3 linked regions of the Saccharomyces cerevisiae S288C genome follow. The protein of the gene in region 1 interacts with the protein of each later gene in a biochemical or structural test. Each region holds a gene or a part of one and is shown in the gene's direction. Other genes may lie near its edges. The genes, in order: FPR3, PTP1 and LTP1.

Region 1 (11,958 bases):
GAATTTCAACTAAAGAAGATGACAAGGACGACATTAGATCTGACACATTAGTCACTGTACTAGAAAATTTGGATAGCATTACGGATTTGATGGAACTACCATTTTTGGCCCGCACATGTATCAGAACAGGTCATTACCAGGAGGCCGTCATGCTATACACACACACTACTTCCCTGAGGTCAAGATTCCCTGGTTCAACCATTGTGGATGAAGTTTGCGAAAAAGTTTTAAACGAAATTAGTACTACCATGTTATCCGGGCTGGTAAAATTACTGTCTACTAATGTATCAGTAAACTCACTAAAGAAAATACTACAGTACTTGAATTCAATTCCACCATTTGATGGAAAGACTAATAAATCATTATTAAGTGTGTTTTTAGCCATGAGATACAAATTCATTACCGATGAAATAGCATCATATCCTTTGGACGTTGAGTCTTCTAATGAATCTTTAATTGAAATGATGGTTAAGAGGAAAATTGAAGTCCTCAGGGAACATGTCTACATGTCCTTGAATGTCTTTCTGAAAAGCTTCTTGTATGATACAAATGACTTAGAGATTCCTTTCCCAGAGGAACTAGAAAGTACTGTGCTAAGGATAAATGGGACTAACGAAGAGAAAGAAATTGAAGAAAAGGAGAAAGAAACAAAGAAGGAAGAATATCAAAAACAAGATAGCGTAGCGAACAATGAAGAAGATGTGACAGAAAATAAATCGATAGAAGATGTACAAGAGGAAGTACAAGGCAAAGTGGAAGGCGAAGATGATGGAGCAGAAAGGAAAACAGAAAATGAGATAGAAAATGAAACAGTAAACAAAACAGAAGACAAGGCTGAAAAAGAAAAAGAGGAAGAAGTAAATACCAAAGATAACAAGGCAGAAAAAGAGGAAGAAGAAATTAATAAGGTTGAGGTGACCCCAGAAGAGCCAAGCAAAAGCATAGATAACAAGGCAGAAAAAGAAGAAGAAGAAATTAATAAGGTTGAAGTGACCCCAGAGGAGCCAAGCAAAAAGATTCGGACTTCAAAAAGGGAAAACAAAATACCTACAAATGCAGTCATGTTGCAATTCGTTGATAAGTGCATAACATACGTATTAAAAGACCTCACTCGTGGGTTAAATAGCATCAAGCTGAGTGACTCCGTTTGCCTGCAGTTGGTGTACTGTTCATTCCGTCTTTGCGACCTGAATCGAAACTACCACCACCTCTTCCTAAAAAAAATCAATGACACTAGCTTGTTTACGACCGAGCAGCTCGCCCGGGCAATTGACAAGAGAGCAGAACTGGCCTCTAAATATATATACTCCTAGTATAATATTGGCTCACTATGTATTTTCAAAATGACGATCGTCCGAAATTTCCATTTTTTTATTTTTTTTTTTCACTTCTTCGCCAGCGCGAGAAGGGGGAGAAACAACAATACGAGAATGTATGTATACCTTTACAACACACTGCTGCAGTCAGAAAGGGAAAAAGGGATAATTGTACCTTACATCCTTTAGAATTGCACTTACCTTTTCCAATTGCGATACATTTCACTTTGATAGACAACTTTGCTTTTTAGCGTTACTTAATTTAATCAGTTTTCTTCTTAACAATATAAAGAGCATCATTAGCTAGCTTTGTTTATTGACATACGCAATATTGCTAGAAAGAAAATAAGTAGAGCTACGCATTGAAAGTCAAGAAAAATGACTGGCATCAAAGCTCAAGTCCATCCCCCACCTGATAGTACCCTATTTCATGAGGAGGAGAAGAAGAAAGTAGGAGGCAATTTACCTCAAAAGGTCATAAATCAACAAGAAAGGGGTTCTGATCACGCTCCATCGGGTCACCATCAATACCACCAACTGATTAACCATGACGCAAATGACACAAAGACCTCAAATTCAGTTTCTGATGTGTCTAAAGGTCAGAAAACTGCTGACTCCAACCCGGAAGGTAAGAAACAGTCATCAAAAGACATATTTGTTGCCTCCAGCGCTCAAAAAACCAATCAATTGCCCGGTCCCAACCCACAGGGAAGCATAGGAGCCGTGCCATTGGAAGGTTTACGTCCGAAGGAATTCAGATCAGCACCATCTAGGAAGCCAAATAAATTCGACACTTCGATTACTAAGCCTGGCGTCTTAGACGACTTAGGCAAACTTGATGAAAAGGATATTAAGGAAAAATTTCACCTAGATTCCGACGACAAGTTATTTCCATGGCAAAATGTTGGTGAGTTCCATGCTTCAGGAAAGGGTTCGCCAAATACAAAGATGTCCAGGGTTATAAAAGCTTACATTCTGGAAAATTTTTATAACGATTGGTACTGTAATATAGCCACCGTTCTTGGAACTTGTTTCTTCTCATGGTTATTTGCTTACATTGGGTTTTCATGGTGGTCTATGATATTTATCTTCTTGGGAACTGCGACCGTTTACAACGCAGAATATACAAGATTCAACAGAAATATCAGAGATGACTTGAAAAGAGTTACAGTCGAAGAAACCTTGTCGGATCGCGTTGAATCCACTACGTGGTTGAATTCATTTTTATCAAAATTTTGGGTGATTTACATGCCAGTTTTATCTCAACAAGTCAAAGATAACGTTAACCCTCAACTGGCAGGTGTTGCTCCAGGTTACGGTATCGATGCGTTAGCTATCGATGAATTCACTCTGGGCTCTAAAGCTCCCACCATAAAAGGTATTAAATCGTACACCAAGACTGGTAAAAACACTGTTGAAATGGATTGGTCATTTGCATTCACCCCAAGCGATGTCTCGGATATGACAGCTACTGAAGCTAGGGAGAAGATCAATCCAAAAATATCTCTGGGTGTCACGTTAGGAAAAAGTTTTGTCTCTAAAACAATGCCTATTTTGGTTGAAGACATTAACGTTGCTGGTAAAATGCGTATTAAAGTTGAATTTGGTAAAGCTTTCCCAAATATCAAAATTGTTTCTTTACAACTTTTAGAACCACCTTTGATTGATTTCGCACTGAAACCAATTGGTGGTGATACTTTAGGTCTTGATGTTATGTCATTCTTGCCTGGTTTGAAGAGTTTTGTTAAAAACATTATCAACTCCAATATAGGGCCTATGCTATTCCCTCCGAACCATTTGGATATTAATGTTGAAGACATTATGGCTGCTCAATCAAAAGAAGCTATTGGTGTCCTTGCCGTAACCATTGCTTCTGCCGACTCTTTGAAAGGCTCAGATTTCATTACCAATACTGTCGATCCTTATATTGTTATGACTACCGAAGATGCTGTGCCTGGTACAGATGAAGAAGTGCGTACATCTATCAAATCAAATGTTAAAAATCCACGTTGGAACGAAACCAAATATCTATTATTAAACACCTTAGAGCAAAAGTTAAACTTAAAGTGCTTTGACTTCAATGATGTAAGAAAAGATACCGTAATTGGTGATCTTCAACTTGACTTGGCAGATTTACTACAAAACCCTGTTTTGGATAATCAAACTGCTGAATTAAGATCCGGTACAAAATCAAAAGGTATTTTACATTATTCCTTACACTGGTTCCCTGTGAAAGAAGATAAATCAGAGGAAAAAGCAGTTGAGCGTGCCGAAGCTAAGGCCAAGGGCAAGAAAGAAGATGAAAACGAGGACACTACTGAAAAAGAAGAAGACGAGAATGAAGAAAGTTCTCAAACTGATGTCGGGATTGCCAAGATCACTTTACAAAAGGTCAAATATCTGGATACAACCAGTTCTATGACCGGTAGCTTGAGCCCATGTGCTGAATTATTCATTGATGGACAAAAAGTAAAGAGCTATAGAACTTTGAGACGTATCAATGAGCCATCTTGGAATGAGACCATCGAAGTTTTGGTTCCATCAAAATCTAACTCTAAGTTTGTCCTAAAAATATTCGATGACAGAATGAATGGTAAGGCGCTGATCTGTGAGTATTCATCTTCTTTAGATGATATAATGACTACTTTAGACACTGCTCAAGAGTTTGTTAAAGGCTCACCACAAGGTGACATTTATTTGGATGTTTCTTGGAAATCAATTGAAATGACCGGAGCTTTTGCCGCTGCAAACTCTGTAAGCGAACCTATTGGTTGTATTAAGCTAGACGTTAAGGATGCCATTATCAAGGGTGACTTATCCGGTGTAGGGGATGTTGATCCATATTACACCGTATCGTTGAATAGACGTGTTCTTTACAAGTCCATATATCATTCTGATACGGATCATCCCATTTTTGACAACAGCACCTACGTTCCTATCTTCTCTCCAAATCAAATTTTGACTCTCGAATTTCATGATTATCAAAAGATCGGCAAAGACCGTTTCATTGGCTCTGTACAAATTCCTACATCAAATGTTTTCAAAAAAGATCCTAAATCAGGAAAATATGTTGGGAATAATGGCAAAGAAGAAATTTCAAAACTAAAATTAAAAGACCACGAACACAAAGTTACCGAAAGCATTGTCAATGTTTCAACAACATTTATCCCAATCAATCTGGTGTATTCCCCTGAGGAGTTGGTGAATGTTGAGAAACTAGAAAAGGAGTTGAAGGAAAAGAAGAAAAAATTCGAAGCTACCCAAGAAGAAAACGAGCAAGAGATGGAAAAAAATCCAAAGGAATGGGAAGTTGCCGAGATCGAAGACCCATTTGACAGCGATGAAAAAAAAATAAACAGGAAGGCCAAGTTATCTTTAAACGAGTTGATCAAGCAAAAATCTGGTATTTTGTCTATGCAAATATTGGAAGGGACTTTGAGCCCATCCTCTGCTTACCTAGAAATCTTAGCGGATGACATTTCGTACCCTGTATTCATTTGCATGAAACCATCTCAAGGTAAACTAAACTCGGAGATGGCAAATATTTTCATTAGAGATTTGAATTACAGTAAACTACATTTTAGAGTATCGAAGAAACATATTGCCAAAGATTCAGATGATGTCATATCCGAAACTTCCTATAGTACATTGAAGCTACTAAAGCAAGCTTACGAAGAGCCCATGTGGTTAAACTTCAATGGGTCTAAAATGAAGGTAAGATTTTTGTACACGCCCACTAGCGTGAAACTGCCTAGCAGTGAAAGTGTTGAAGACACTGGTTATTTGAATATAAAGCTTATTTCCGGACACGGTCTGAAGTCCGCAGATAGGAATGGCTATTCAGATCCATTTGTTCACATCTTTGTCAATGATAAAAAAGTTTTCAAATCGAACATTAAAAAGAAAACATTGGATCCCGTATGGAACGAAGATGCTAAAATACCAATCCTTTCAAGAAGTAAGAATCAAGTCATATTTAATGTTCTTGATTGGGATCGTGCAGGTGATAATGACGACTTAGGCCAAGCTTCACTTGACGTTTCCTCATTAGAAGTTGGTAAAACTTACAACTGGAATTTGAATTTAAACACACAAGGAAGTATCAAATTACAAGGTTCATTCAACCCAGAATATATCAAGCCAAGTTTTGATATCGTGAAAGGCGGTATCACTGATAAGCCGATGAAAATAGCCAGTGGTGCAGCCCATGCAACTGTTGGCATAGCTGGTACTGGTATAGGAGCAGCAACAGGAGTTGCCACTGGTGGTTTAAAGAAAGGTGGTCACCTTCTAAAATCTCTAGGTGGCAATCCAATGAAAAGAAGCAAGAGCAGCAATGGAAATGAGTCCAACGGTGCAAAAAAATCATCAGAGAAAAAATCTTTTGATAGGAGATCCCCAAGTAATTTGAATAGCACTAGTGTAACACCAAGAGCTTCACTAGACTATGATCCATCAGTACCTAACACAAGTTACGCGCCCGTTCAAAGCGCATCTCCTGTAGTCAAGCCAACTGACAACACTTCTAGCTCAAGCAACAAAAAAGATACCCCTAGTAGCAACTCTAGAGGACATTCTCGTGCAAGCAGTTTTGCGCGTACTTTAGCTCCTCATGGCACTTACAATGGTTTTATTACCGTGGTTGCTGCGGAAAACGTTGCCAAGCATGTTCAAATTAAGATCTCTTTAACTCAAGGTGGTAGACTAAAACACATATACAAAACGAAAAGCCAAAAAGCCAATAATGATGGTGTTGCCGTATTTGATGAAGAGTGCTCGTTCAAGGCTTCTCCCGAAGCCAATTTGGTACTGGGTGCAATTTCCCATCAAAGACTATCGAGGGACAAAGATCTTGGTATTGCTCAAATCAACTTGGGTGACCCTCAAATTCAACAAGATGGCCAAATTTCTGTAAAATTAGGAGACGGTCATCTGATTGTAAAGATTAATTACGGTAAAGACAAGAATGGTCAGGTACCTCCCGTGCCAGAAGTTCCTCAAGAATACACGCAGTAATAAACAGTGAAAACTATTCTTTTATACGCTCAATAAGGGCACATTTGGTGTGTTAACAGGTGTCTTTTCTGTGTTTGTTATAATTTTGCGCTATTATTATATAACGTTATATTTACTATAATATATTACAACATATATTACAACATATTTCAACGCTCTCCTGTTACTGCTTAGGGAGAAGAAAGAAATGTGAAGACTGCTATTAAATCCGTACATTATTAAAATGTATGGATTTGTTATATTTTTCTTCAGTTTTTTCCTTAACCAGATTCGAAAAGCGGCCCGCCTAGACCATTGCGGTTGCGGCTAAAGCGTTCTGGAGAGGGCTTCTCCGCTGGGCGGACAACAGAAGCGAGAGACACGTTTCCCGTCTGGGAGGACTCACCGGATTTGTCCAGTTTCCCACTGGAGTGTGCTTTGTTCCTTTTGCAAAATTTCGTTGGTATGGAGGTTATCGAATGGAAGGGTTACATGAATAGATTAAATGTACTACTCATTAAAGATTGAATATCAGTTTTACATTAGGCGAAACAACAAAGTAATAGCCATCCAACGAAATGAGTGCCCAAAAAGTATGTTCCTACATGTTAATTTCGAGGGGGAGATGTCAATTTACATTCACGAAGGCATAAGTTTTGAAATTTGATATGATGCCATCAATCTCAGACATATCCATACAAGAAACAATAAGATCAGGACGTCGAACAAAATAATACAATGAAAACTGATAAATGACGTTATACAGTGTACAGTGAGGATAAATGATTAAGGCAGTATACCTTTCAACACAATGTTAATACTATGAGTGAGAAGGTGAGCAAAGCAATAAGGTATATCGACCCTAGCTCATGATTATTTAGTTTCCAAACAAAGGCCCACGTTACAGTTTCAAATCGCTAGGCATAATCTCTCCCTATAAAAATTTATCACCATTCGCAAATCAAGAATACTAACATTAGTCGTTTGATATTTCTTTTTTCCATTTAGGCTCCAAAGTGGTATCCATCCGAAGACGTCGCTGCTCTAAAGAAGACCAGAAAGGCTGCTCGCCCACAAAAGTTGCGTGCCTCTCTAGTTCCAGGTACCGTCTTGATCTTACTAGCTGGTCGTTTCAGAGGTAAGAGAGTTGTTTACTTGAAGCATCTAGAAGACAACACTTTGTTGATTTCTGGTCCATTCAAGGTCAATGGTGTTCCTTTGAGAAGAGTCAATGCTCGTTACGTCATTGCTACCTCTACTAAGGTTTCTGTCGAAGGTGTCAACGTTGAAAAATTCAATGTCGAATACTTTGCTAAGGAAAAATTGACTAAGAAGGAAAAGAAGGAAGCTAACTTGTTCCCAGAACAACAAAACAAGGAAATCAAGGCTGAACGTGTTGAAGACCAAAAGGTTGTCGACAAGGCTTTGATTGCTGAAATCAAGAAGACTCCATTATTGAAGCAATACTTGTCTGCTTCTTTCTCTTTGAAGAACGGTGACAAGCCACACATGTTGAAATTTTAAATATAATTATTTTAACGAACTTCTATAATAATATATATGCAGGTAAAATTATAATTTAACTACAGTTTCATAAGTGCATTTGTATTGAGCATTGGTTTTTTATTCGCATATTTATATCTTCATTGCGGCAATCACCCAGAGAAAGGGCGTGAAAAGAAAAAGGAATACATTATTTCAAGTTCCTTTGATCTTTCCTATAATGTAGACTTTCTTGGCGCAAGACTTGGATGCATCATACAAAATACAAATTGTTAAGCAAAAAAGTGTCGCTCTGCTGTAAGCTTTGTGATGTTATATTTGATCGTATGGTGAGGAAAAACAATACACCTCATGTTATATAATGATCGTTGTTTTAGGTGAGATGTGGAAATAGAAGAGAGATTTTTAAACAAAAAGTAAATGGTTTTAAACGTTGGCAATAACAAGGCCTGCTCACAGCAAATAAAACGGGAATAGAACAGGAACGGGAATAGAACAAAGATAAGAAAATTGAAAGTAGAAAAGACAAATAGTGAGAAACAAAATGCAAGAGAAAATGCATCGCTTGAGCCCAATGTTCCTACCAATATTAAGGGGATTTCAGGTATCAAAGTCGCATTGACGTATAAAATACTCCAAAAAATGCGCTCTGTTTACTTTGTTATCTATGAAATGAGGAAAATGCAACCGGTGAGTGTAAAAGCATCCTGCAGGAATTTGTTACAACTTCATCTCAGTTACCAACATAGCCAACGGACGTCGATATTGTCCTTTACCCCACTGGTAGTGAAATACTTTCGAGTAAATGTCAGGACGTTAGAAATCATCCGAGTCATGCTTCGACTCCATGTATTTTTATTCTCTAAGTGTGCTTTGGAGTTTCCCCGCGAGTTCTCACAGAATTGGCTTTACTGCCAAAAGTTGAAGACAGCATAGTCATTGGCTTCGTCAAAAGATCTTCATTATTTAAAGCAAGCAATGATCAATTCTAAGACGGGTTAACAAAATATGGACAGAGCATCTTCAAGCAAAACTAATGCGGCAATGTTAAGCTTACATATATTCGAACGGTAATAACATCGATAATACGGTTATAGCCACCAACTCTGCATTATAGAAATGAGAAAAGCGCCATAGCTATTATTTAACGTAACTTACCAGAAGTCCTTGAGCAGACGATTGAGCATTGAATAAAAAATAAAATTCTTGTAATTCTTGGAAGGAAGAACGACACAAATAGATAAATGGCGTATTTTCTGAGCAATGAACTGTGTTCCATCAAAAACATTTTATCGCACACCATAGGCACTTAGAAAAACAAACCTTTGTGCCAGTATTTGAATGAAAACACTTTGGTTGAAATGTATTGTGAAATTAATCATCGAGCACTTTACGGTTGGCAACGACACATTACTGACGTTCTTTCGCCGATTTGTTACTTTAATATATTGTACAAAAATGCATCAAAGAACATAAAAGAGAGCGATCGCACAATCAAACTTCTTTTGGAAATAATCTGTCATCAATGCTCCAAACATTCTACTATCACCTGTTCATGATATTATGGGGAGAATATGCCAAATGTATATGACACATCGCATACTTTCTACCTTTTTCAACTGGCTTGCTTCCTCTACCTTTCACTAAAATCTGGATTGCATCTACATCTATATAGTCAAAACCGGCAAGAACAGAGATTATGATACATGCTTCATGTTCCATTGATTAGAATCCACTAGTATTAGCTCGCTGTTCAATTTTCAGCCCTCTACGGACTGTCGTCATTCCTAAAGGACGGCAAAATTTAAAAGTGAAGGTAAAATTTTTAAATTCGAAAAAAGAGCCTACTAACACGTTTCTATATAATACATAATTGTGTGAAAGTTCATACATAATTGAAAGCAAGCATCCAACCAGCCCAATATGTCTGATTTGTTACCACTAGCTACCTACAGTTTGAATGTTGAACCTTATACCCCGGTTCCAGCAATCGACGTCACGATGCCCATCACCGTTCGTATTACTATGGCTGCTTTGAACCCGGAAGCCATCGATGAAGAGAACAAACCATCGACTTTAAGAATTATCAAAAGAAACCCGGACTTTGAAGATGATGATTTTTTAGGTGGTGATTTTGATGAAGACGAAATAGACGAAGAATCCTCTGAGGAAGAAGAAGAGGAAAAAACCCAAAAGAAAAAGAAGAGTAAAGGCAAGAAGGCTGAAAGTGAAAGTGAGGATGATGAAGAAGACGATGACGAGGACGATGAGTTCCAAGAATCCGTCCTTTTGACTTTATCTCCGGAAGCCCAATACCAACAATCTTTGGACTTGACCATTACTCCAGAAGAAGAAGTCCAATTCATTGTCACTGGTTCTTACGCTATCTCCTTGAGCGGTAACTATGTTAAGCATCCATTTGATACTCCAATGGGAGTCGAAGGTGAAGACGAAGATGAAGACGCTGACATCTATGACAGTGAAGACTACGACTTGACCCCAGATGAGGATGAAATTATTGGCGACGACATGGACGACTTGGATGACGAAGAGGAAGAAGAAGTTCGTATTGAAGAAGTCCAAGAAGAAGATGAAGAAGATAATGATGGAGAAGAAGAACAAGAAGAAGAAGAAGAAGAAGAACAAAAAGAAGAAGTTAAGCCAGAACCTAAGAAAAGCAAAAAGGAAAAAAAGAGAAAGCACGAAGAGAAAGAAGAAGAAAAGAAAGCTAAAAAAGTAAAGAAGGTCGAATTCAAGAAGGACTTAGAGGAGGGTCCAACAAAACCCAAAAGCAAAAAGGAACAAGATAAGCATAAACCAAAGAGTAAGGTTTTGGAAGGCGGCATAGTAATCGAAGACCGTACTATCGGTGATGGCCCACAGGCTAAGAGAGGTGCCAGAGTAGGCATGAGGTACATTGGTAAGTTAAAGAACGGTAAAGTTTTCGACAAGAACACCAGCGGTAAACCATTTGCATTCAAACTTGGCCGTGGTGAAGTTATCAAAGGCTGGGACATTGGTGTTGCCGGTATGTCTGTTGGTGGCGAACGTAGAATCATCATTCCAGCACCATATGCCTACGGGAAGCAAGCTCTGCCAGGTATTCCTGCCAATTCCGAACTGACATTCGACGTTAAATTGGTTTCTATGAAAAACTAGTACACGCGCTCGTACGGATAGATGTTTATATATATTATTCTTTTTACATAATATTGTAACCTTCTGTATGTAAATCCGAAAACATTCTATTTCTTTTTAGTATCTATTGCTCTTTATAAGCTTTTCATTTTACTTTTCTCCGCGGATGATACAAATAAAGAAGCTGTGTTGTATAGAAAGAAATATATGGCGGCAAAAAAAGCGTTATCTTCTTTCTGTTCCTATTTCACTGAGTGCTACTGGATGGTCGTCAAGAAAGGTGAAGAAATCTTCAAAGCAATAAGAATTCAGACATTGACGTTAAATTAGATTATCGCCGCAGCTGTAATTGCGGTTATGGCCTCTAGTATTTAGTTCGATGTTAATGAAATAAAGCGCAAGCTGACTGTGAACGATAACCGCCAGGAAGGCTAGACACAGCTCTTCAGCTAAACAGTAGCCGGAACACATATACATTAGGGAACATTAGAAATAAGGCTCTCGTTGATCATCCTTGTAACTGAAAATTAGAACCGTTAAACGCTGCTGATTGATGGATTCCAGCCGTTCTCTTCCAACCCCTTTTACCCCGATTGTTCGTCCACTATCATGACTTATTATCCACTAAAGTGGCGTTGGCTGTACATTCGGGTGATGGTAGTATGGTGAGCACATGCTTTAAGTCCGAGAAACTAAGCTACAAAACGGAATTTCAAAGGGCCCCATTTTTATCGGGTGGACTAAGGGAAAGAAAAGCCTTCTGGAGAAGAGTTGGAAGACCTCAGCGTAGTGCGAAGAAAACGTAGTGCGAGTCTCTACGCCCGCTCGTTTAAAACTCTATAGAACGTCCGAAAGAAAGGTCCGTACTAGCTATAGGATCTCTACTTTACCTATTATTATCGCTAGGTGATAGCTTATAAAACAATTCATCGGTTTCTTCCTCATTTTTCCTGTATCTTTTCGGCTATGAAAAGCTGTTGTTCGATAAATCCAGGCAAAGATTTTT
Region 2 (5,132 bases), on another chromosome or scaffold:
TGAATAGGTTCTTCTCCATAGAATTGCCTCCTGAATTTAAATTCGAATGTGATTGGTCCTTCATTTCACTAAATTTCTTGATGAAGTGGTAAAGTTTTTTACGTGACATAATTGGATTTGGCAAGTATCGCGGTATCTTGTTTTTTGATCTGAAACAATTGGATAAAATGTAAAAAACGAAAATCACTGATGAGACACTATCTCTTCGTAGCGATAGTAAGGCTCTCGTGGTTTCAATATCAAAATCCTGATCCCAAATTTCAAAAAATGCACCTGAAATTCTCGCTTCAATGATCTTAGATAACAAAAATTGGCATGAATTGATTAGACTTGCGTACTTCTCAGGATTGAAGTTGGAAATAATGATTGGCTCATGACGGGCTTTCTTCAAAAGTTCCCTGATTGCTTCAAGACTTTGAGTCAGTCTAACTTCACGAATGTGGGAAAATGCGAAAGTTAAATCAGTAGGTGCGTCGTCGGCATCCCTGTATAAATACCGGTCCGCCACGGTTTGGTAGGACTGGCCCAAGTGTGCCAGTAATGATGACATACTATCTCTTAGTTCTGTCCTAGCTCTAAAGGGCCACACTATCCAGTTGATGGGAATCGAAACCAAAATACCGATAATAAGTGCCAAGCCTGTAACCCACGTAGATTTCCATATTCCAGCGGTGGTTAAGTTATAATGTCTATTAGGTTTGCTGTATGGTTCAAGAGCAATTATGGTAAAGCACATTAATGCAGTGAAGCTCGATTTGGTGTTTCTATAGACAAGAAAGTTGATGCTAAATGGGACCACGATCAGACCAGCAAACGTGCAAACCACGTATGGACTACCAAAATGTCTCGATTGGTTGGCAGCCCACCCCCAAAAGATACCTACTATACCACAGATTAATCTCCTCATTACCAACGCCCAGTTACCAGAGTATCTTCTATGTGCTAATAAGTAAAACGTGAGTGGGGCCCACCAACAATGAAATTCTTGGTACCAGTGATAGGATTCAGGTAGCCAAGTTGGTAGACACAAAAATATCATACAAAAAGTAATCTTTAGTGTCCACTTACATTCATCACCAGATAAAATTCTACTCAATTTCCATAGTTTAAATCTCCAAGGATTTTGAGTTGTATGAAAATTGAAGTCGTTGTGATCAATTGCTCTGATGGAAATAGTGTGGTTTTTGCGATTCTGTGACTTTTCGTCACCACCTTGTGAATCAAGTCTCAGCGCTTCTTCTTCGCCTTTGTTATACTTGTGTCTTGACGTGTAGGTGTTATAAACTCTTTCAAAAATTTCATCGACATCACGTTTGGCCTCAAAATAATGAAGAACATTTCCTGCACCTTCATCGAGAACACATTGTTTGGGCAATCTTGTCAACGCACGAGACAGTGGATATGATGGCAGAGCAATTCTCCAGTGAATATTCTCACCCAAAACTTGGCAATCGTGGATAACAGTAACTAGCTGCCTTGCGGAGTTTCTCAAATATCTTAGAAAAAGGAAAATATCGACAGACTCTTCGTCATTCAACAGTTCCTGTGAAAAAAAACTAGAATTCACAAAATCCCTGTAACAAACATCTAGTTTGTAAATTTTCCTCTTTAATTTAGAATGCGAGTGACTTAATATTTTGACACACTCATCTAAGTTGTTTTTTTGATTTGGAGACTCGTATTTCTTTAGTACTCTTGATAGATTTTCCAAAACGAAGATCATTTCCAGTATTAAGTTGAAGATGCTTTTCGAGAAGGACGCCTTTAATGCATTAATGTAGATTTCATTTTTTAAAAGCCCCGGACCGATAGGCTTAAAGGCACTGGGCGTGTTTTCTCTTGTTGGAATTCCTGAAGATTGAGGGCTAGCGCTTGCTTCTTTGCTCAGGGTCGCAGAATCCGATCTATACTTCTCCAATTCTTCATACATCTTTTTCAATTCATCATCATTAAAAATTTTGGGTGCAATGGGTAATACTCTCAGAGAAGTTTCCATGGCAGTTAAAGAATTTCTTAAACTCTTCAACGATTGAAGGTCAAACCTGGAAATTGTCAACTGATTTACAAAATCTCTAAAACCTTGAGATAAATCAATGTTTAGTGTTTTCACCATTTTTACTTGGGCTAGGTAAATTTGTTCTTTGGACTTTATTAATTCAGTATCTACTAGTGCCATTAAAAAGGTCTTTGTGGTCTGTAGACACTTGTTATAATGTTCCATTAACTCTGCATTGCCACTATGTGGTGATACACATACACAAACCAAGAGAGATAGCAAAAGGCCGAAGAGATATGAGATTCCAAAATCCCAAAAAATTTGCCACTTCAAATCAAACTTGGATGAGGCCAACCGAACTGTATGAGTGAATATAATCGATATCGAAAACGAAGTTGTGAAATAGAAGAACCGACGGTAAACAGACCTTAGCCAGATGGCAAATAAGAGGGCCATAGTCAGACTCTGAAATAAAATTCCTCCCTGGTAGTTTGCGGTCGGCTTTGTCGCTGTGGAAATGTACCATGCCAAAGCCGACCATCCCAGGCCAAAACTTGCGCCGATAATGGAGCTTATAGTCATTTCCAGTTGAACACCAATATTTCTGACCGGATGATGTATAAGTACTGCGATGGGTAGAAAATACCTGAACTCATGGCCAATCCACCTACCAGAAGGCCTGATAACGCAAATCACGATAGCAATGAAATAAGCAATAAAAAACTTGAATATGGATACCCCATTTTTTCTAATATCTCTAGGGAAATGAATAATGGGCCTGTAGATAGCAGTCCAAACATATTCGGAAAGCTTGGTAAAACCAGATTGCAGTTTTTTCCTTGCAGCGCCATTGTCGTCATCGATGTCGCTGTTAGGAGACCTAGCTTTGCTGTCCGGCTTGGTAAAAGCAGCATCAAAAAACCCATCTCTCAGCTCTTCCAGCCCAAAGTCCTCTACTTCCTCCCAGTGTTTGTCCTTAACCAAATTTTCCAGCCGCATTTGCGATAAGGATGCCACGGATTGTTGTGGGCTTCCTGCAAAGCTAAGCCCGCTTATACCGGCAGGATTCTTATAGTTAAGTTCATGTAGTGACCTGAGTGATGTTTGAGAGTATGAACCTTTCACAATATCAGGATCAGGAGTGGGACTTCGATCTCGCTCATATCTTTTCATGAGGACCTGTTACAATTCCAGCACTATACTGTACATGCTTTCCTTAGTGGAGCACAAAGCAAGTTAAAAATGAACTTTAAATTGATTAAAGTGTTAGTGACGCTTAAACTCGTTTTCCTGCGCGTATTTCACGCAATCTATACATAATCATCTTTGATAATGTTATATCGCCTTTCATTTCCAGATTTTGTTCACTGAAAAGTCTTATCGGAAACCTAACTTTGGGCGACAGGGTTATTGTTTATAATTTGTAGGTGTTCCATTTTTTTCTTTGTACTTTTTTAGGTTAACGTAATATTTAATTAGGTCATTTTTAGGGCGTTTAGTATTAGAAAAATTCATTTGTACACACTATTAAGAGGAAGGCAAACTATATTTACATTTTATTGAGGAAAAGGGTTCATCGAGGAGTTATCAAGAAAAGCGTTTGTTAGTAGTAGTTTGCGACAGTGGAGATGGCAGCTGCACCATGGTATATTAGACAGCGTGACACGGATTTATTGGGTAAATTCAAGTTCATACAGAATCAAGAAGACGGCAGATTAAGGGAAGCTACAAACGGAACGGTGAATTCACGATGGTCGTTGGGGGTCAGCATAGAACCTCGTAACGATGCTAGAAACAGATACGTTAACATTATGCCGTATGAGAGGAACCGCGTTCATTTGAAGACTCTATCCGGGAATGATTACATTAATGCCTCGTATGTCAAAGTGAACGTGCCAGGGCAGAGCATCGAACCGGGCTACTATATTGCTACTCAAGGTCCCACGCGTAAAACTTGGGATCAGTTTTGGCAAATGTGCTATCACAATTGTCCTTTAGACAATATTGTCATTGTGATGGTCACGCCTCTGGTAGAATACAATAGGGAGAAGTGCTACCAGTACTGGCCTCGCGGTGGTGTAGACGATACGGTTAGAATAGCATCAAAATGGGAAAGTCCGGGCGGCGCCAATGATATGACTCAATTTCCCTCTGATTTGAAAATAGAGTTTGTTAACGTACATAAGGTGAAGGACTATTATACGGTCACCGATATCAAACTCACACCCACGGACCCTCTTGTAGGACCTGTCAAAACTGTTCACCACTTTTACTTCGACCTTTGGAAAGATATGAACAAGCCAGAGGAAGTAGTACCCATAATGGAATTATGCGCTCACTCCCACAGCTTGAATTCCCGCGGGAACCCCATTATCGTACACTGTTCCGCAGGCGTGGGCAGAACGGGGACGTTCATTGCCCTAGATCATCTCATGCATGATACCTTGGATTTTAAAAATATTACAGAACGGTCAAGGCATTCAGACAGGGCTACAGAGGAGTACACACGGGACTTGATCGAACAGATCGTGTTACAGTTGCGCTCGCAAAGAATGAAAATGGTTCAGACAAAGGATCAGTTCCTATTTATCTACCATGCTGCCAAGTATCTTAACAGTCTTTCCGTGAACCAATAGACAGCTATATAAAAGTTCCTAATTGTGCATTTTTTCAATAACAATACTTATTCATCCTTATAATTATATTCTAGCTTCGTTGTCATGGGAACATAGCCCATACACCGCAGTTATTTATGATCATTTCGAACGGGAAGTATGGATGAATCTTTTTTTTTTTTTTTTTATAGCACGCAACTGAAAAAAAAAAAAAGAAAAATTTTTCATCTTCGCTCGACGTTTCTTTTGTAGTACTCATCTCTTTTTATATAAAGATTAATTAGTTATTGTCGCTTTGCTTTTCCTTCTTTAAAAAATGTTTCTTGCTTTTGGATTTTCAGATGTCCCAAGATCATTACAGTATTTTAATTGAACAAAATGGCTGAAGGTGTTTTCCAAGGTGCTATCGGTATCGATTTAGGTACAACCTACTCTTGTGTTGCTACTTACGAATCCTCCGTTGAAATTATTGCCAACGAACAAGGTAACAGAGTCACCCCATCTTTCGTTGCTTTCACTCC
Region 3 (10,397 bases), on another chromosome or scaffold:
AGCTTCAACACACATTGGCTTAGATGGAACGAACTTGACCAAAGCAGCGTCACCGGACTTCAAGAACTTTGGATGGTCTTCCAACTTCTTACCAGATCTTCTGTCGTTCTTTTCCAACAATTCGTCGAATCTACAAGCAATGTGAGCAGTGTGACAATCCAAAACTGGAGAGTAACCAGCAGAGATTTGACCTGGATGGTTCAAAACAATGACGGTAGCGTTGAAAGAAGCGCAACCCTTTGGTGGATCGTTCTTAGCGTCACCACAGACGTTACCTCTTCTGATTTCCTTAACGGAAACGTTCTTGACGTTGAAACCAACGTTGTCACCTGGAACACCTTGTTCCAATTGTTCGTGATGCATTTCAACGGACTTGACTTCAGTGGTAACACCAGCTGGGGCAAAAGTAACAACCATACCTGGCTTGATGACACCGGTTTCAACTCTACCGACTGGCACAGTACCAATACCACCAATCTTGTAAACATCTTGCAATGGCAATCTCAATGGCTTGTCAGTTGGTCTAGATGGTTGTTCAATGGCGTCAATGGCTTCCAACAAAGTCTTACCCTTGACGACACCGGCCTTGGTTTCCTTTTCCCAACCCTTGTACCATGGAGCGTTGGTGGTAGCTTCAATCATGTTGTCACCGTTCCAACCAGAGATTGGGACGAATGGAACAGTCTTTGGGTTGTAACCAACCTTCTTGATAAAGTTGGAGGTTTCCTTGACAATTTCTTGGAATCTGGATTCGTCCCATTTGACGGAGTCCATCTTGTTGACAGCAACAATCAATTGTCTAACACCCAAGGTGAAAGCCAACAAAGCGTGTTCTCTGGTTTGACCATCCTTAGAGATACCGGCTTCGAATTCACCGACACCACCAGCAATAATCAAGATAGCACAGTCAGCTTGAGAAGTACCAGTAATCATGTTCTTGATGAAATCTCTGTGACCTGGAGCATCAATAACGGTAACTTGGTACTTTGGAGTTTCGAACTTCCACAAAGCAATATCGATAGTGATACCTCTTTCTCTTTCAGCCTTTAACTTGTCCAAAACCCAAGCGTACTTGAAAGAACCCTTACCTAATTCAGCGGCTTCCTTTTCGAACTTTTCGATGGTTCTCTTGTCAATACCACCACACTTGTAAATCAAATGACCGGTAGTGGTAGACTTACCAGAATCGACATGACCGATAACGACAACGTTAATGTGAGACTTCTCTTTACCCATTTTGTAATTAAAACTTAGATTAGATTGCTATGCTTTCTTTCTAATGAGCAAGAAGTAAAAAAAGTTGTAATAGAACAAGAAAAATGAAACTGAAACTTGAGAAATTGAAGACCGTTTATTAACTTAAATATCAATGGGAGGTCATCGAAAGAGAAAAAAATCAAAAAAAAAAATTTTCAAGAAAAAGAAACGTGATAAAAATTTTTATTGCCTTTTTCGACGAAGAAAAAGAAACGAGGCGGTCTCTTTTTTCTTTTCCAAACCTTTAGTACGGGTAATTAACGACACCCTAGAGGAAGAAAGAGGGGAAATTTAGTATGCTGTGCTTGGGTGTTTTGAAGTGGTACGGCGATGCGCGGAGTCCGAGAAAATCTGGAAGAGTAAAAAAGGAGTAGAAACATTTTGAAGCTATGGTGTGTGGGGGATCACTTGTGGGGGATTGGGTGTGATGTAAGGATTCGCGGTCCTCGAAAATTAAAAGTCCAACGCGCCTGTTGCTTCCTATGTGATATGTATTATATGTAATATGCATAAATATATCTACTGCATTGTATTTTGAACGTACAAAGTATGCATTGTTTATACGCTATTATCAGCCAAAGTTGGGTGGTCGCTTTCTGTTGTATGACTATTGATGTCTAGGCTGTCAATAATTTCGTTTTGAGCCTCCATGTCTCTGAAGAACTCCCTGTTGGCAAGGCTGGACGAAGAGGCAGATGGGGATGACCGTAGTCTTATGCCCCCTTGACGGCTGTTCCTGCCTCTGACTAAAGACCTCATTAAAGATTTCGTGAACCTTCTTGTCGTCTTAATTATCCCGTTGAAAAATTTACTCCAGCGAGACCCGTCCTCTATGAGGTCCCAGTGTGGTTGCTCATTTAAAGATGGCGATATGTCGTGTAACTCGTCGTCGTTTTTCAAATGCCTATTTAGTTTAGCATAGATCCATCTTCTCCCCGCAAATTCGACTAAAAAGAATATAGCGAAGATACCGATGAAGATACCCAAAACGTTAACTTCATTCTTTTTGTTTGAGGTGGGGCACGCATGAATGCTGCGGACTTCGAAGAAATACGAGCAATTGTGTAGGTTTCCAATGTATGATATCTGGGCCTTTGATTGAATTTCTTTATCGCAGACAAAATTCAATAAAGTTGCCTTCTTGTCCTTCCCGTTCGGGCACATAGAGCCGTTTTCGTATTTGAGAGTTAATTTCTTGGCAGTAGAGCCGCCGACTAACGCAGGCCTTGTACTGAAGTCTCCAATCGATACTAAATTATTTTCGTTCAACTGGTCTACGTAAAAAGCGCCCGTTAGATTGGACAGTTGTTGCGACTCAGCTTCTCCGACAGGACTAGAGCAGATGCCTAACGTGAAGTTTGTATCGTAGCCCCAACCTCTCACTGACCACTTCGTCTTGGAGGATTCATGCTTGTTATTGCCAGAAATCTGTTTTTGGCCCTCCCTTAATTTGTTGGGAGTTGAAGATAGCTGTGATAGATCTATGTATGATCCGGTGACTGGGTTGGTTACCGCACAAAATAGATCTTCATCGTTTTCGCTTTTGGGTTTATCCGGATTTGCTAACGTTCTTTTTTGCTTGTGAGAAGCCCTATGTTCATTGGCTTCATGGGACAGTCCTGGACCATTGTATACATGCAAAAGTATTGGTATGGTAATGATTAGGACACATGATAGATATATTAGAGATGATCGTTTCAACATATTTTCCAGTGTGCGATCCTACAGTATGTTTTATGTTCTATAAAATAAAGCCCTTTTTTGAGAAGTAGTATGCTTAGTAAGAGTCTCCTGTAGTTTTGCGTTCTTATTATTGAAATTGAAATACTTGGCATTTTCTTCAAAACTTAACCCTTCTTGTTTCGGATACCTCTTGTACCTGCACCCGAAAGGGAAACGCGGCCAAATACAGCCGCAAAGTGACAGTAATGTGAATAAGTATAAGAAAGGATTAGTGAGCGGGAACTACAGTTTGGTAAATAATTAATTTGAAATTTACTGCCAAGGTAGAAAGGTGTCTTTTTTTGAATTTTTTTTTTTTTTTTTCAGAAGAAGGTTTTTCTTTTTTTTTGCTGAATATTTTCTATAATTATTTAGTGCTTCATTTTGATGTCACAAAAAAGTAATACTATAAAAAAAGATTTTATGTAGAATGGATAATTTGTGAAAGCATTCCTGGGATTTTTTTATAAATTTCTCATAAGTGTTGTAATAAAAGCTAACAAAAGAGACTGACTTCATAAGTAAGGGTAGCAAGCGTAAGTATAACTAAAAAACAAAATCATATAAAAAGATAAAATATCAATCATGCAAACGATTTCTGGAGTCTTACCAACAGTATTAAGCCCCTCAGAGCTTAGGTCTGATGATGAACGAACCTTCCAGTTTGACGAAGAAGCTGAAATAACAACGCATTTGACTGAAAGCGAAGATTTACGAAGGTTAATCAATGAGACTGCACAATTAGGTGTCAGAGTTGATCATATTCACGATAAAACTGACCAAGAAATTGCCAGGCTGGAAAAAGTGATTAAAGAAGTTACTGAAAGTGATACTTTTTTCCGATCTTGTTCTGGCTGGTTTAAAACCAATAAGAATTTTTCTGACAGTGAAAGCAGTTCAAATACGCAGCTGAAGAGTCTTTCTCAATTGCATGGCCGCTATGATCGTGATTGGAGACAGAGGTTGAATAAGTGGTTTAGAAAAAATAAGAGTAAATTAGCCCTACCATCTGATAATAATCTGGAAGAGGTAAACGATGATAAAGTATATGGATATGGAGAGGACTTGATGGAACGGGGCAAGACACCATATTTTAGTGATATTGATGATTTTATGAATGGATTGAATATTATATCACCCTTAACACCTGACGATTTTGAAAATGACGATACATTAGTTAAAATTGATGAAACCTGCCAAATTCACTCCGCTTCTGAACCTGAGAAGACCTCCATAAGTCCCACATTTGGGAAAAATATCAAAAAGGAGCTAGTAACTGATGATACGGAAAGCATTATTAGCGGGCCTCCTTTGCAAGAGAATAAAAAGACTCTTTTGAAATACCGATATGTCAGGACTTCTCTTGATATGCTCGGCTCTGAAAAGAGTAGTTCTAAAAATAACAGCGGTGGTATGTTCCGTATTTTCCATAAGAGTGCTAATTTTGGCGACAAAAATCAAGAAAACGTGCCACGAGTGTGGGACACACTTAGAAATAATTTGGGAAGGGAAATTTATCTTTTGCAAGGAAGATTCAAAAAATGGACTACAAAGCATCAAAATCTTAAGAAGGGCCAACCTTGTAAAGATGAAGACGCCGTTACCGTTCCCTTACCATCATCTGATCCGGGAAAGGAAACACAGTTGGAAACTAAACTCTGTTTTGTGCCCGAACCAGGTGATCAGCCTTTGGTACAAGCATAACCGTGTAAAAGGTTAATGAGCAAACGTTCCTTGCTTGTGTCAAGACATGTTCGGGCAAGATATAAATAAAATTCAAATAATGCCAAGTATCAATAAATTCTGTTTACATTTCCGCACTATAGTGCATTCTTGAAATCGAAACGCGTTAAGTTCTCAATAAACAACGCGTTACCCTCTCAACAGAAAATAATGCCCCATTGTCCTGGGGTGAATTTAAAATCAAATGATTATAATGTGCGCTATTGTTGCACTGCTTCCCAGGCCGAATAAGAGAGGCACCACATTTATCAAACTGGTTACGTTCGTTTTCTGAAAATCAAACAAAAAATGTCGAGCTCCTCCAAGGCTTCTGCAAGTTCATCCTTGTCAAGCACAGCCACCTCTTCAACTTCTGCAACTAGAGGCAGCGACGGATGTGTTGTTTGCGATTCAACTGCATCATGCCCTGTTTGCGCTTCAGGAGAATATTGTGTTATGACTTCATTAACATGTGACAAGTGCCCATCCACATACTGTGCGAAACAGTCCGATTCACAACTGAGTAGTTTATCTTCCTCCTCCTCTAGTTCTAGTTCCAGTAATTCAAATGAGAAAACCTCGTTGATTGTGGGGTTCACCGTGGGTATTGTAGGTGGTGCGATGCTTATTGCCTTGGTGGCGTTGTATTTCATCAACAAGAGATATTGGAAGCCCAAAAGGCAAAAAAATAAAGCTTTGAAATTGGAAGAGGCATCGCAAAGTTACGGGAATGAAGAGGAATACTTCGACGATGAAGACGATGATGATGAAGACGATGAGGATGATGGCGGTATGAGAAAAGATGAAAGTCACACCCTGTTCAATACGTCACTGGTACCTCCAACTCTCAACGTGCCGGGAAACAGAAGTTCAGCATCTACCACTCGTACAAGGGCTTCTAATATTTTGCCTATTGCCTACATTCCTGGTGTGACAAGCGGTTTGAGTACCGACAAACTGCAATCAAAACTACGCTCGAGCTCTAAGAGACAAAATGCAGCTGGTGATATCAGGTCACATATAACCTTAGGTTCTTCCATCTTGGATGGTCTGGATGACGAAGATGACGAGCATAACCAGGTACTCAATAAGGACGCAGACGATAACCTCATAACTGCTATTCGTGCTAAACCTAAACTGGTTCAAATCGCAGAGGAAGAGAGTGATAAGGAGATTCAGGACTTGGATGTCATTGAAGAACAGACAGAGGCGGATGATCTTTCACACATGGCAAAAAGCGAGGCAAGCCATGGTAATAACGACGAAGATGACGATGAAGAAGGAAGTTTTATACTGGACTTGGAAATTCCAGAATCGATACGCGAGAGCACCCAGGGCAGTCGCACTGAGAGCCCGTTTGAGGACAAGTTCGAAATACACGATGAACGATAAATAAAAGGCGTGTCAGTATTCTGCAATCCCGGGGAAAATATTATATCATATCAATATTCAATGATCTACGTCTATATAGTTACGTGTATACGCCGTAATAAGCGCTTTTTTTTTTTTTTTAATTTTCTGACTACTGTTCAGCCATCAAGGTATGTCTAAATTAATAATATTCAGCATTTTCAACGTGCGCTTACCATCTGCTAATACACAGCTCCTCTGAAAGTTTCTTGGCCGAATGTCATAATTTTCGAACCAAATATAAAAATTCATACACATTAAAACAAGATGTGCTTACAAAGCGGATAAGTTCCGCAGCAGCCAAAGCTGCATTGAGACATTTTTCGCATACACATCACTTCTCTGGGGAATGAAGCATCCGAAAACGCCAACGGGACTAAAATACAGCAAACTTGCATTTTGGTCATTTATGGTTAGCAAGTTTAAGTGCTACTACATTACATATTACCTGACCCTGAAAACGGGCTTAAAAGCCCATCTACTATAGTGCCGCTGCGGGTAACCGTAGCTTCTTGCTTTTTTTCCCACCGTCATTTATTTTCTAGTCTTCTTTCCGAGAAATGCCGGCGGCGTTTGCCGTTCCGTTCGCAATCTCTCGAGAAGTTCGAGAGATGAAAAATTTTCTTGGGAAAGCCAAGAAGGTACGATCGTAGGCATGATTCATATATAAACTCTTTCCCAATCTTTTTGGTTACGTACATACTCCCCCCTGATCTTTTACCTACATACTTGATCGTGACTTCTTGATTCATTCATTTCTTGTTCTCACCGTTGTCTTCCTTTTAAATTTCGTTTTTTAAGTTTCAGATCAAACTGAAGTACAACAGAGAAGGAAGCTCATCCCAAGCAACTCTACATAGTTACCTCTTTAGCAAACAAAATGACTCAATTCACTGACATTGATAAGCTAGCCGTCTCCACCATAAGAATTTTGGCTGTGGACACCGTATCCAAGGCCAACTCAGGTCACCCAGGTGCTCCATTGGGTATGGCACCAGCTGCACACGTTCTATGGAGTCAAATGCGCATGAACCCAACCAACCCAGACTGGATCAACAGAGATAGATTTGTCTTGTCTAACGGTCACGCGGTCGCTTTGTTGTATTCTATGCTACATTTGACTGGTTACGATCTGTCTATTGAAGACTTGAAACAGTTCAGACAGTTGGGTTCCAGAACACCAGGTCATCCTGAATTTGAGTTGCCAGGTGTTGAAGTTACTACCGGTCCATTAGGTCAAGGTATCTCCAACGCTGTTGGTATGGCCATGGCTCAAGCTAACCTGGCTGCCACTTACAACAAGCCGGGCTTTACCTTGTCTGACAACTACACCTATGTTTTCTTGGGTGACGGTTGTTTGCAAGAAGGTATTTCTTCAGAAGCTTCCTCCTTGGCTGGTCATTTGAAATTGGGTAACTTGATTGCCATCTACGATGACAACAAGATCACTATCGATGGTGCTACCAGTATCTCATTCGATGAAGATGTTGCTAAGAGATACGAAGCCTACGGTTGGGAAGTTTTGTACGTAGAAAATGGTAACGAAGATCTAGCCGGTATTGCCAAGGCTATTGCTCAAGCTAAGTTATCCAAGGACAAACCAACTTTGATCAAAATGACCACAACCATTGGTTACGGTTCCTTGCATGCCGGCTCTCACTCTGTGCACGGTGCCCCATTGAAAGCAGATGATGTTAAACAACTAAAGAGCAAATTCGGTTTCAACCCAGACAAGTCCTTTGTTGTTCCACAAGAAGTTTACGACCACTACCAAAAGACAATTTTAAAGCCAGGTGTCGAAGCCAACAACAAGTGGAACAAGTTGTTCAGCGAATACCAAAAGAAATTCCCAGAATTAGGTGCTGAATTGGCTAGAAGATTGAGCGGCCAACTACCCGCAAATTGGGAATCTAAGTTGCCAACTTACACCGCCAAGGACTCTGCCGTGGCCACTAGAAAATTATCAGAAACTGTTCTTGAGGATGTTTACAATCAATTGCCAGAGTTGATTGGTGGTTCTGCCGATTTAACACCTTCTAACTTGACCAGATGGAAGGAAGCCCTTGACTTCCAACCTCCTTCTTCCGGTTCAGGTAACTACTCTGGTAGATACATTAGGTACGGTATTAGAGAACACGCTATGGGTGCCATAATGAACGGTATTTCAGCTTTCGGTGCCAACTACAAACCATACGGTGGTACTTTCTTGAACTTCGTTTCTTATGCTGCTGGTGCCGTTAGATTGTCCGCTTTGTCTGGCCACCCAGTTATTTGGGTTGCTACACATGACTCTATCGGTGTCGGTGAAGATGGTCCAACACATCAACCTATTGAAACTTTAGCACACTTCAGATCCCTACCAAACATTCAAGTTTGGAGACCAGCTGATGGTAACGAAGTTTCTGCCGCCTACAAGAACTCTTTAGAATCCAAGCATACTCCAAGTATCATTGCTTTGTCCAGACAAAACTTGCCACAATTGGAAGGTAGCTCTATTGAAAGCGCTTCTAAGGGTGGTTACGTACTACAAGATGTTGCTAACCCAGATATTATTTTAGTGGCTACTGGTTCCGAAGTGTCTTTGAGTGTTGAAGCTGCTAAGACTTTGGCCGCAAAGAACATCAAGGCTCGTGTTGTTTCTCTACCAGATTTCTTCACTTTTGACAAACAACCCCTAGAATACAGACTATCAGTCTTACCAGACAACGTTCCAATCATGTCTGTTGAAGTTTTGGCTACCACATGTTGGGGCAAATACGCTCATCAATCCTTCGGTATTGACAGATTTGGTGCCTCCGGTAAGGCACCAGAAGTCTTCAAGTTCTTCGGTTTCACCCCAGAAGGTGTTGCTGAAAGAGCTCAAAAGACCATTGCATTCTATAAGGGTGACAAGCTAATTTCTCCTTTGAAAAAAGCTTTCTAAATTCTGATCGTAGATCATCAGATTTGATATGATATTATTTGTGAAAAAATGAAATAAAACTTTATACAACTTAAATACAACTTTTTTTATAAACGATTAAGCAAAAAAATAGTTTCAAACTTTTAACAATATTCCAAACACTCAGTCCTTTTCCTTCTTATATTATAGGTGTACGTATTATAGAAAAATTTCAATGATTACTTTTTCTTTCTTTTTCCTTGTACCAGCACATGGCCGAGCTTGAATGTTAAACCCTTCGAGAGAATCACACCATTCAAGTATAAAGCCAATAAAGAATATAACTCCTAAAAGGCTAATTGAAACCCTGTGATTTTTGATAAGCGATAGAAAACTGAGAAGGGAAAGTTAACACGAAAATGACAATTGAAAAACCAAAAATATCGGTCGCATTCATTTGTTTGGGTAACTTCTGTAGATCACCAATGGCGGAAGCCATTTTCAAACATGAAGTCGAAAAGGCTAATCTAGAAAATCGATTCAACAAGATTGATTCATTTGGCACTTCTAATTATCATGTGGGGGAAAGCCCTGATCATCGTACAGTGTCCATTTGTAAGCAACATGGCGTCAAGATTAATCATAAAGGGAAACAAATAAAGACCAAACACTTCGATGAATATGACTATATAATCGGTATGGATGAATCCAACATTAATAACCTAAAAAAAATACAACCTGAAGGTTCTAAAGCTAAAGTTTGCCTTTTTGGTGATTGGAATACTAATGATGGCACTGTGCAGACCATTATTGAAGATCCTTGGTATGGTGACATACAAGATTTCGAGTACAACTTCAAACAAATCACCTATTTCTCCAAACAGTTTTTAAAAAAAGAGTTATAAGCTAGCAAGTAATGATGGTGCGGTCTACATCGAGTAAAAAGATAATATGTGAAGGTGAAGTTAAAGAGTACAAATTGGAGATTTTGAATACTACATTTACCTAGTAAATCACGATGAGAATTATATAAGTAAAAGGAAACTGTTTACAGTTTTTCGAAATCTTCTTCATTATATACGAAGTCGTTACCGCAACGTCTCGCTAACCAACTTTTTTTATAATCAAAGTATCTCCATGATTCCTCCTCAGATTTGCCCATTCCTGGTGGTAACTTTTCGATTTCTTTATAATACCAGCAGCGATCTACCTTGTTGAATAGCCAGTTTCTATTTTTAAAAAGTTCTCTAGCAGCTAAAAACTGTTCATATGATCCTTGGTAATGATAGAATATGAAAAATAAAGTATCAAGATCAAATTTCATAAATATTCTGGCTAGTGAGGTTCTGGAATAGATATCATCATCTTTCTTAGATTTTGCTTTACTATCTTTACCGAACTTATT

Evidence for each region.
Region 2: of the proteins of FPR3 (region 1) and PTP1, one has a biochemical effect on the other in vitro, tested with the Saccharomyces cerevisiae proteins (one study listed by BioGRID).
Region 3: the proteins of FPR3 (region 1) and LTP1 form a complex in vitro, tested with the Saccharomyces cerevisiae proteins (one study listed by BioGRID).

Annotation. Positions count from the first base shown.
Region 1 is NC_001145.3:119,104-131,061, reverse strand, and holds FPR3 (peptidylprolyl isomerase FPR3), read left to right. Parts: upstream 1-9,737; coding exon 9,738-10,973; downstream 10,974-11,958. Other genes in the region: Golgi transport complex subunit COG8, read left to right, coding at 1-1,313; TCB3 (Tcb3p), read left to right, coding at 1,695-6,332; 60S ribosomal protein eL6 RPL6A, read left to right, coding at 6,890-6,904, 7,320-7,835. UniProt on the Saccharomyces cerevisiae protein: Proline isomerase that belongs to an abundant class of enzymes that catalyze the cis-trans isomerization of X-Pro peptide bonds and can accelerate the refolding of proline-containing polypeptides. Specifically binds nuclear localization sequences.
Region 2 is NC_001136.10:39,076-44,207, forward strand, and holds PTP1 (tyrosine protein phosphatase PTP1), read left to right. Parts: upstream 1-3,624; coding exon 3,625-4,632; downstream 4,633-5,132. Other genes in the region: BRE4 (Bre4p), read right to left, coding at 1-3,169; Hsp70 family ATPase SSB1, read left to right, coding at 4,990-5,132. UniProt on the Saccharomyces cerevisiae protein: Is not required for vegetative growth.
Region 3 is NC_001148.4:691,433-701,829, reverse strand, and holds LTP1 (tyrosine protein phosphatase LTP1), read left to right. Parts: upstream 1-9,411; coding exon 9,412-9,897; downstream 9,898-10,397. Other genes in the region: TEF1 (translation elongation factor EF-1 alpha), read right to left, coding at 1-1,236; MRL1 (Mrl1p), read right to left, coding at 1,816-2,961; YPR078C (uncharacterized protein), read left to right, coding at 3,565-4,683; OPY2 (Opy2p), read left to right, coding at 5,011-6,093; transketolase TKL1, read left to right, coding at 6,992-9,034; CCR4-NOT core subunit NOT5, read right to left, coding at 10,041-10,397. UniProt on the Saccharomyces cerevisiae protein: Acts on tyrosine phosphorylated proteins, low-MW aryl phosphates and natural and synthetic acyl phosphates.